Linked DNA regions of Nothobranchius furzeri. The protein of the gene in region 1 binds, or shares a complex with, the protein of each later gene. Links are inferred from orthologs where the notes say so. Each region holds a gene or a part of one and is shown in the gene's direction. Other genes may lie near its edges.

Region 1 (4,649 bases):
GAGCTCAGTCCGGCTCGGCCGTGAACGAGCCGAGGCGGCGTCGTGCTCTGCTTAAGAAGAGGTGTTATTTTCCCGCTTCAGAAGAAGCGTCCAACATGTTTTTACGCTTTCTCCGAGACATGTCACGTCGCTAAGTTGTTAGCGCCGCGCGCTAACACGTCAATAGTGCAGCGTAGCTGCTGGAGGTTTTACGGGTTCAGATGAAAACACCCGACCTCTCACGCTGCTCACACATCGATCTTCAGTTGTCGCCGTTGCGCTCACGCCGTAATACAGTATTAGATGCGGTTAAAGTCAGACATGAAAAAATAAATTTTACATGAATAAGTGATGCTTAGCTTGGTGGGGGGAGGAGAACCTGGCCTAGTCAGCACTGGAGGAAACCCTGTCAAGATCGTCAACACTCGTTTATCTTAATGCTATTGAAACATGTAAACCACAAAGCATTATATCCACTGCTACCTTTCTAATTCTAAACTCAGTAACTTATGCTGTAACTTCACCTTGCCCTGCCTGCTCCTCCTTGCTGCCCGCCGGCTGTGATCACAAGCGACAACATAGTAGTTCCCGCTGCTTCTTCGGGAAATGGCGCAAAAAAAAAGGGGGGATCTTGCAGGCGTGACGGTGGGATTTCAGCCGTGGCGGGCCGCCACGGCTACGCCTATGTAAGGGAAACCCTGGATGAGCTGTCGCGTGGCACGCAATCAATGCATCAATTAGTAATTTGAAGATGAATGAATGTAATACTTATTACAGATTTCTATACTCCGTTAGCCAATAACAGTAACTATGAAAAAAACGACCACTTTTTTAACCATTACTTGCAAATATGTGAACCTTAACGGACCACTTATATTGGAGATTTTTGATGCCGTCCGATATAATCCGATACACTGTTTTTTGGCCGATATCGAATTATTTCCGATATCGATATCAGAATGGGACATCCCTACAAATAAATCTGTTTTTTATTTAAAATTTATAAGCCAGAAGTGTTGTAAGAGGGATTAAAGTTTAGTTTTTTCTTGTCCGTTATCCAAGCTGCTGCCCAATTTATAATCAGACGAGATCAATAGATTATTTTAATGAGATGCATAGATTATTTTTAAAGCCAATACCGATTTTTGATTCTTGTACATCTGAGCTGCTTTATTTTGAAGAACTTTTTATGTCTTTAATTCTTCTGGCAGTAAAAACCTGTACATGACGTTACTGCTGCCTCGAGCTCACCTGACGTTTTTATGTCCTGGTCAGAACGTGGATATTTTAGTTTGTAATAATTCTTAATCAAATAAAACAAACGGATCAGGATGTGTTACAGCAGGGTTTTGATGAAATTAAGGACTTTCTCTAAAAGTGTTGAAAAATCATCCTTGTCTAGACAGATGGCGGACATATTCGTCCAGCTGAGGTAAAACATTCCTTCTGTAATCCCTCCTCGTCTCTTTTTCCTCCCAACAGAAAGTCCGACACAGCAAGCTGGCCGAGTCGGTGGAGAAGGCCATAGAGGAGAAGAAGTACCTGGGCGGCGCCGACCCGTCCACGGTAGAGATGTGCTACCCTCCCATCATTCAGAGCGGCGGCAACTACAGCCTCAAGTTCAGCGTCGTCAGGTAGCTTTTTCGTTCTGTGTTCCATCGATTTGTCTCAGTGGACAGAAGGATGTGGAGCGTTGGTCTGAAGAAAACTTCTAATCTGTCTGATTGTTCTAGAGATTAGAATTAAAATACTTTATGAAAGTTTAAATAGTCCTGTAGACAATTATCAGGTACAATCTGCTCAAATATTAGCAGCAAATTTCAGAGTGCAATAAGTTTGGCCTAAAGAGCAGAAGTGCACCAAAATAGACGAATGAATGAGGGGAAACAAACATATATTGAATATAATATAAATATTTTTATTTCAGTTTTATTTTTTCAATTAATTTTCTATTGTGGCGGGTGGTTACTCCATGTTTTCTATTCTGTTTATATTCAAACACACGATCCATAACAGATCTATTTTTCAGCTGGTTGTAATTCACCTGTAACACCACTAGATGTCACTGCATCTGCTTTTGCTGCAGAGTTTAAACCTTTAACTTTACACGAAAGAAAGTCAACAGATTAATCAAAACAAAGGACTCAGAAGCGATTAGATTTTTCTGCCGACGCGTGGAGCCAGAACCTCGACCCTGACCCGTCCCTTCTCTGCACCAGTGACAAGAACCACATGCACTTTGGTGCCATCACGTGTGCCATGGGCATCCGCTACAAGTCCTACTGCTCCAACCTGGTGCGCACACTTATGGTGGACCCCTCGCAGGAAATGCAGGACAACTACAACTTTCTGTTGCAGGTGGAGGAGGAGCTTCTGACGGAGCTGAAGCATGGTGAGTTCAGGGGCCGGCTGGGGCTGTGGGAGCTCTGGGCGCTCGCTAAACCATCAAGTAGTAAACTGTTGTTTAAATACTTTATTGCGGTTATTCTGATTTATTGCTTTTGGATTATGATGTTTTGTATTTAAACTGAAGATAAAACTGATGCAGCTTTTATGCAAATGTCGAGCGACACCAATCCCTGACGTTTAGAGCCCTGTGATTTACCGGCTTTAGCTTACTGTTACCAGGGTTACGGCACAAACGCGTCTTTTTAAACTCCTCAGGTGTGAAAATTAGCGACGCCTACAACGCCGTCCTGGAGTACGTGAAGAAAGAGAAGCCAGAGCTCGTGGGGAAGCTGACCAAAAACCTCGGGTACATTCGCACACGGCTCCGTCTCTCCAGCCGCTCACTCAGACCGTCTCCAACACTCCGGCTTTTATTTTTCTCAGGTTTGCGATGGGGATCGAGTTCAGGGAAGGCTCCTTGGTTCTGAACGCTAAAAACCAGTACAAGCTGAAGAAAGGTGAGGCGTTGGACTTTACCGCTGGGAGGGAGAGTGTTTACATTTACACCTGGTGTTGTTAAGTGTGTGTTTGTGTGTGTGTGTGTGTGTGTGTGTGTGTGTGTGTGTGTGTGTGTGCCAGGCATGGTGCTGAGCATCAGTTTGGGCTTCTCAGACCTCCTAAATAAGGACGGCAAGAAAGGCGAGCAGAAGTACGCCTTGTTTCTAGGCGACACGATTCAAATCAACGAGGTCAGGATGGTTTTATTCATACGAGGAGCTCCTTTCTTCTGCTCTGATCCTGATGTGTGTGTGTGTGTGTGTGTGTTCCAGGACGAGGCGGCCACAGTTCTCACACCTGTGAAGAAAAAGATAAAAAACGTGGCGATCTTCTTAAAGGTCGGTGTCCTTCAGTAACTTCTAGTGTGTGTTTTGTTGTTTGTATTATTAAAACAACTTCCCAAAGCAACCCGAGCTCACACTTTAACTTTCTTTGAGTGGGAAACTCGTCTATAATAAAAAGTAATAAAAAGATCTATTAAAAAAAGAATCTTTACTGATTAGCTGCCAGCTGTTTTCTGATCAGAAACCCAATGACTGCATGTGTTTTTGAGCGTTTTTACTGTGAGTCGCAGAGCATTGTGCTCTACGACCACTGAAACACCAAAGGTACCAAAAGAAAGAGTAGACTCACTTCTCACATCGGGAAGAGTCTGCGTGTTTCTAGATTTTTCCGTTCTTTGACCATCCGTGAGCTGCAGAAGCTTTTCCCGTTTGCGCCTCGCTTTAGGCTCAGCGGACTCCCAAAACGACGTGCTGATACACGGGTCGTCTGCTTCCGGATCAGCACTTAGAACCGTAACCGTCTCCCGCTTCCTCTGCCGTTGTTACTAGAAGAAAAAAATCCCGTTTGGCCCACAGCCAATCCTGGCACAGCCTTTACAAACCAGGACACACCAGACTCCACGGTCCACATTTGGAGTCACTTTTAAAAGTGGACGGCATCGTTAGCTTCGCTGTGATGTAATCAGCCGTGGTAGGTGCAGCCCCTGAGCACATCCACAGATTCCCTCACTCCCCGCTGGAACACTCCCACACCGCCAGCTGCCTTGTTGAGCGTCACGGCGGTGAAATGTTTACACCTGTTGGCTTGCAGAAAGAAGACGAGGAGGATGAAGAGGAAGACGAGAACGACGCCGAGGAGCTGCTGGGGAAGGGAGCCCGTGGCGCCGCCCTGCTGGCAGACAGAACCAGAGTGAGTGTTGCTGTCCGTGTGGTCATGTGACCATCTTAGGATCTTCTCTGACTAAGCCTGTGAATGTCTTTGTACTCTATCAGCTACTTGGGAAGGTGAGTCCGTGTTTTCCTAAAATAAGCTGACTCAGAAAAGGAAAAGATGAGATGAGAAAAAGTTCATCTGAATTTGAGTTTCTGTCTCATTTTGGTTGTTTTTATTTCATTTTCTCATCTGAATCTGGCCGTGAGGTTTTCTGCATGTGTGTTGTGCCCATCATCCCAAACGCCGCCCTCACGCGTTTCTGTTAAAACGCTGTTTTTAAACAAACTCAGAACGAGATGACGGCGGAGGAGAAGAGGCGGGCTCACCAGAAGGAGTTGGCCAATAACCTGAACGAGGAGGCCAAGCGACGTCTGACGGAGCAGAAAGGGGAGCAGCACACCCAGAAGTGAGAGCGGAGCCTCGCCCTGCGCTGCTTAGCGCTCGGATATCTAGTTACGCCTCTGCTCGTTCTTCCAGGGCCAGAAAATCCAACGTGTCTTACAAGA
Region 2 (5,247 bases), on another chromosome or scaffold:
TCTGTTTTGTGACTTTTAATGCAATACGTGTCTAAAAGATGTAATAATAATGATTTATATCCACAGGTTTTAATAAGATAACTAGATTCATGATCTTACCTTTACCAAAGCTTCTCATGGTCTCCAGAACCGTTAATTCCAATCTCAACTAAAAAGAAATTCGTAACTTTTTAACACAGGTGATGTGGTGACTCGGTCTTTACAGGATGAACGAACTTTTTTGTTCAAAATAAAAAAAAGAAAAATAAATTTGAGAGTAACCTTCCTCAGGACGTCGTTTAAATTTATCCTCTGACTTGTGTGGTCTGTGTGACAGACGGAATGACGGCGGAGCTCTTTTTGTACCTCCTCCTCCTCCTCTTTTTCTCCCATTCCTCCCCTCTTTTCCATCCCTGTCTCCTCTTCTTCCCCTGTTCTCCTCCTCTGCGGTGATTCACCAGGTTGACGCATCACGGCTCAGCTCGAACCACGGGACTTGTCACAACTCATTTCTGTCTCTCATCTCCGCGAACGCGAGCTGACAGCGGCGTTTGATCTTTAATCTGCTTCCCTTTAATAAGGTAACGAGTCGGACCGGATCGACTCACCTCGGCCCGGATCGGGTCACCTCGGGCCAGGAGGACAGGGCAGAAACTCCACGATCCAAATGCTCCAGGAAACAGGGATTAGAGGGACCGTTTAACTTCAGAAAGGAGAGAAAGACGCGTTTTAATGGAACGCTTTAAAATTTACTGTAAATGATGAAAACACTTCGTCTGCGTTTAATCCATCATTTCCAATTTGTCGCAAAAAAAACAAAAACATTTTCTTTAAAATTGCGTGTTTAAAATATAAGAAACGCATACACTAATCACATTTAAATGTTTTAAGCAACTCTTCTGTTTAAACCTTTTGTTTAACAACAGACGACATTGATCTCATTTTCCAATCTCACATAATCTGGCAGGATGCAGCAGTTTCTTGAAAAAAAAATCCTTAATCTGGCAGGTTTTCCATATCTGTTCAGGTCACGCGGGGTATGCGTTTGAATTGTGGCCTTGTTAATGTGGACTGACAGCAGATCCTCAGGATTAATCGAAGGGAGACCCAAAACTCTTGTTTTATTTATTTATTTTTTTAATTTAACAAGATATTTAATTGAGACTATGTGGATCACTAAAGCACACTCATCTGACATGGTGCTATTATGACTGGCTTTCGGGCCCTGTGTTCTAATTGTATTTCTGTACTTTGTTAACTATTATCCTCTTGCATTATTTTATTTAATCAAGTTACTATCAAGTATCAGACTTCGTTTCCAAACTGTGCTACCTCAGCAGGTTAATCTGATCCGATCCTCACTGTAACACCAGTTCTTGCCTTTTTCTTGTAAAATGAAAACGTGAATATCTGTTCACACTATAGATTGTGGCTAGCACATCTGAATGTATTTTAAAGCAAAAATGAACCAAATTTGCGTCGCTTCGCTCAGTATTTAATGTTCTTCTAACAAGAGATTTATAACACAAGTAACGACAGGACTCTTCAGGCTCTTGGAGGGATTGTGCGCCCTGTAGTGGTATATCGGGGTCACTGCACCATTCTCTGGTCTGCGCAGACTCCGTAAAATCATGCCACTATTAGTTTGATATATCTTTAAAAACTCGTTAATACAAACACATTTACATCTTATACAAATGGGAAAGTGTTTAGTCAAAAAATATAGAATGCTTAAAAAAACCTTTTGGCAAACCGGAAAGAAACGCATACTCCTGCTGTTGTTTCCTGTGACGTCACACTAGCTCCTGATGCTACACGCGGGAAACGAATCTGCACATCTCAGTGATTGTAAGTCTACGTTTAAAAAACTGCCTTTTCTCCTGTGGATAAAAACTTGTTTGTGAGAGAAACTAATCAACAGAAGATAGGTTTGCTCACGCGCCTCAACTGAATTTGATTTCTTTGTTATGTAGACCATAAAATAGTACTTGTTTTCCAAAACCGGCCTAGCTTCTTTTTTTGTTGCGCTCGATTCGGTGTACTTTGCATTGCTGCGGGGCGGTGCTGTTGTTCGTGCCATTTCCTACAACCAAAATTACGACTCGGTTAAACATCGGTACTCAAAAGAAGCGTAGCAAGTGCACCTATGCTAGCTTAGCTATTGTGAGTGATGGAGCATGCTTGATGGTGCTGACAAACGGAGTGACACAGCCTTTACTTGTGTCACGGTGGGATTGTAAACATTTCTGCTCTTCAGATTGTATTTTACAATATTGTTGGGTAGATTTTTAACTATTTTAAATGGGCACACAGTAAAAAAAATAAGCAAACGTAACCGTTGAGATAACGTTAGGTCAGATTTCATCTTTGTTTAACCAGGAAGGTCCCATTAAGATAAAAATCATCATCTGAGCGTCTCGATGCTTCAGAATGACTAACATTTGGAAAACAGCACAGAATATTTCATTTTGTAATGAACTTGTTGATGTTTGGTTGGAACTGATGCCGTTTACCTGTGTATAGAGCGTCAGTCATCGCCTGGAGCCGACATGGGGGACACACTGGAGTTCAACGAGATCTACCAGGAGGTCAAAGGCTCTTGGGTCAGTTCCTTCACCCTGCCTTTTATTTTACATCTCTACTAAATGATTGTGTGTTTGCACGTTCAGTATGTAACCCACAGCATGATAGGATCCTGGTTATCTGATAACACTTGTATCCTTAAATCACAAAAAAAAGTCAATTTCAGAAGGTTTTTCCCCTTGTTACTATTTGAAGGTGTCAACTGAATATCAACATGGCATCAGAATTTAGTCAAGAAGATCCAAGAGGATGTTCATTTGACCACTGTATCTGTGATGTATGCTTTCATCTGCCAACACAAGTTTACATCACTCGTGTCATAGGGCAGGAGTAACGTCATGTTTTATCATAATCTATCAAATGTGATTCAGACACTCCTTCAGAAATCAGCAATAACTCTTTTTTTTCCTCATTAAAGCATCTTATTAGTAGCAAATAATCTTTAAGGCCCCTTGTGATTTCATTTAATTGATCAGATAGTTTCATACAGAAATAAATAAATAAAAACATGTCTTCCCCTCACCTCTCCTCTGTGTGACTGGTGTGCATCAGGTACTTTTATGGAAAAGTGTTTTCGTAACCCCAAATTAATTTACATTCAGTAATTTTTTAACGAATGGAACAAAATCAATCTTTTCATGTTCCCATCTTGAAATCACAGCTTTCATATACAAATACAAACTGGAGTTTGAATAATGTGAATTATTGTGAATTAAACTGAAGACTTGCCTTTTTAACCATTTTGATATCTGATAAGAGTACACAAATACCCCCCAACAAAAAAATCAGAATAGAAAACATTCACATTTAGCCTCAAAAGAGTCTGAATCACTTCAAATTAATTTCAGAACATTTAAATTACAGCTAAGTTCCAGATATCATCAAACCCAGGATGTCCTGACCCTCATGGGCAGAACTCGTTTGTGATGTGAGCTCCTCCTAAACGGTCCAGATGTTGCACCTCTGCTCCTAAAGGTTCTGCCTTTTGCGTCCCTCAGCATTGTGTCATTAATTACCGTTTATGTAAATTATTTATTTTTTAACATCTTTAAATCCATTCAGAATCATTTATGCCCACATTGATGCATCAGAAAATAGATTATACCCACCACCCCTAGAACAGTGTGTATATTTATATCTTAGTGTTTTACATTAAATGTTATTGTGACACGGATTAGTGCACCACACAGCATTCTCTAAAGAGCAGTTATAAGTAACACCTTTACAATTACCAACGTCGTCTCAACACGAAGGACCAAATGAGGATAAACATGTTTGTATAGTGGGATGTTCTGATGGAGCTGCCTTTAAGTCAAATGAAAAATAGAATATAACTCAGTTTTTATGTAAATCATCATTTAACAGAATGATTATTAAATGCTAATTGAGATGAGGTCAGTATTTTGTGGTTCTGCTTTAAACTTTGATGTTGAATCTAAAAAGGAGCAAAATATTTTAAAGTTGTTTCTGCTGTTTTTATAACTGATAGTGAATTATGTCCTAAAATGCCCAAACGACCCCGTTCTACCAAACAAACCCTTAAAAACCTTAAATAAGAATCTGTTTTAATCCAAGTTCCTCGTGTGTAGAAATCTAGCAGCTGATGGTATTTTACATCTGCTCTGAATTCTGGGTCAACCATGCAGACAATGCTGGCGAAATCCTACAGAGTACATGCTTTTTCTATTTGTACTAAATGTTTACTGGGTGTAGGATCCTACATCATTACATTAAAACTTGGCTTACTAAAATATATAACACGTGTCCCCGTTGTGTGATTGGTTACCATCATTCCTCTAGTTATGGGTTTAGGGATCATCCATCTTTGACGGTTTAGTGCAGTCTTTGATTTTCTGTCCAAAGTAAATGGAGGTTACAATGTTCCTGTTTGTGTTTCTTTTTATTGTTATTATTTTTATGCCAACAACAGTAAAATGAGGCTGAAGGTTTATTATATTCCTCTCCCTGTTGTCGGGCGGCGCTCAGATCAGCTGATCAGCAGGTCTGAACGCTGTGCACACAGGCAGCGTAGAGCGAGAGAGGGCAGCCATTTTCAGACTCAAACTTTTTTATAAGCAAGAGAAATCTTTGAAACTGTGGAGGAAAAATTGTTCAAACTAAAACACAGGAGATGTCCAAAAGGTTTGAAAGCCTGTGTGTTCATTATGTGTTAAAGAAAATCAAATGGCATTAAAGGGAACTTTGTTGAGCGAGCTATTAACGGAGATAAAAGCTCGTTAAGCCAGCATGTTTTACTGAGGATGCTTTTCTGCTCAACATCCAACCCAGACCAGGTCTGTATAACCAACATTGTCCCATCTAGAGGCTGACCGATAGATCGGACCGATAATTTCAAGTTTTTTCTATATCGGCCGAAATTATTTTTAAAAGCCGATTAAAACAAATAAATAAATAAATCAGGTGTGCCCGACTGCTGCCACTACTAGACTGAAGAAAGGACCCAAAGAACCCTAACAGTTTTTTTATGTTTTGAGTAGGGCTGGGCAATAAATCTAAAATTTATCGTTGTCGAAATTTCTGACTCTTATCATGATAATAAGACTCGTGTTTTATTACTGAGCTCTGTTGTGGTTTATTATTAATAAAATGTGACAATCGGCTGAAACTGTTGTGAAAAGTTGGTTCAAACTAAATAACAGGAGATGTTCAGAAGTTTGTAAGCCT

What was found.
Region 2: supt16h (region 1) and ssrp1a share a complex: the UniProt entries of both Homo sapiens proteins name them as parts of the FACT complex. The link is inferred for Nothobranchius furzeri from reciprocal best matches to the Homo sapiens genes SUPT16H and SSRP1.

Annotation. Positions count from the first base shown.
Region 1 is NC_091742.1:80,394,626-80,399,274, forward strand, and holds part of supt16h (FACT complex subunit SPT16), read left to right. Parts: intron 1-1,461; coding exon 1,462-1,613; intron 1,614-2,198; coding exon 2,199-2,371; intron 2,372-2,643; coding exon 2,644-2,734; intron 2,735-2,811; coding exon 2,812-2,885; intron 2,886-3,006; coding exon 3,007-3,116; intron 3,117-3,197; coding exon 3,198-3,263; intron 3,264-4,020; coding exon 4,021-4,119; intron 4,120-4,433; coding exon 4,434-4,549; intron 4,550-4,620; coding exon 4,621-4,649. UniProt on the Homo sapiens protein: Component of the FACT complex, a general chromatin factor that acts to reorganize nucleosomes. The FACT complex is involved in multiple processes that require DNA as a template such as mRNA elongation, DNA replication and DNA repair.
Region 2 is NC_091741.1:91,653,603-91,658,849, forward strand, and holds the start of ssrp1a (FACT complex subunit SSRP1a), read left to right. Parts: upstream 1-1,740; 5' UTR 1,741-1,827; intron 1,828-2,100; exon of another isoform or gene 2,101-2,207; intron 2,208-2,502; 5' UTR 2,503-2,528; coding exon 2,529-2,582; intron 2,583-5,247. Other genes in the region: uncharacterized protein clcf1, read right to left, coding at 100-118. UniProt on the Homo sapiens protein: Component of the FACT complex, a general chromatin factor that acts to reorganize nucleosomes. The FACT complex is involved in multiple processes that require DNA as a template such as mRNA elongation, DNA replication and DNA repair.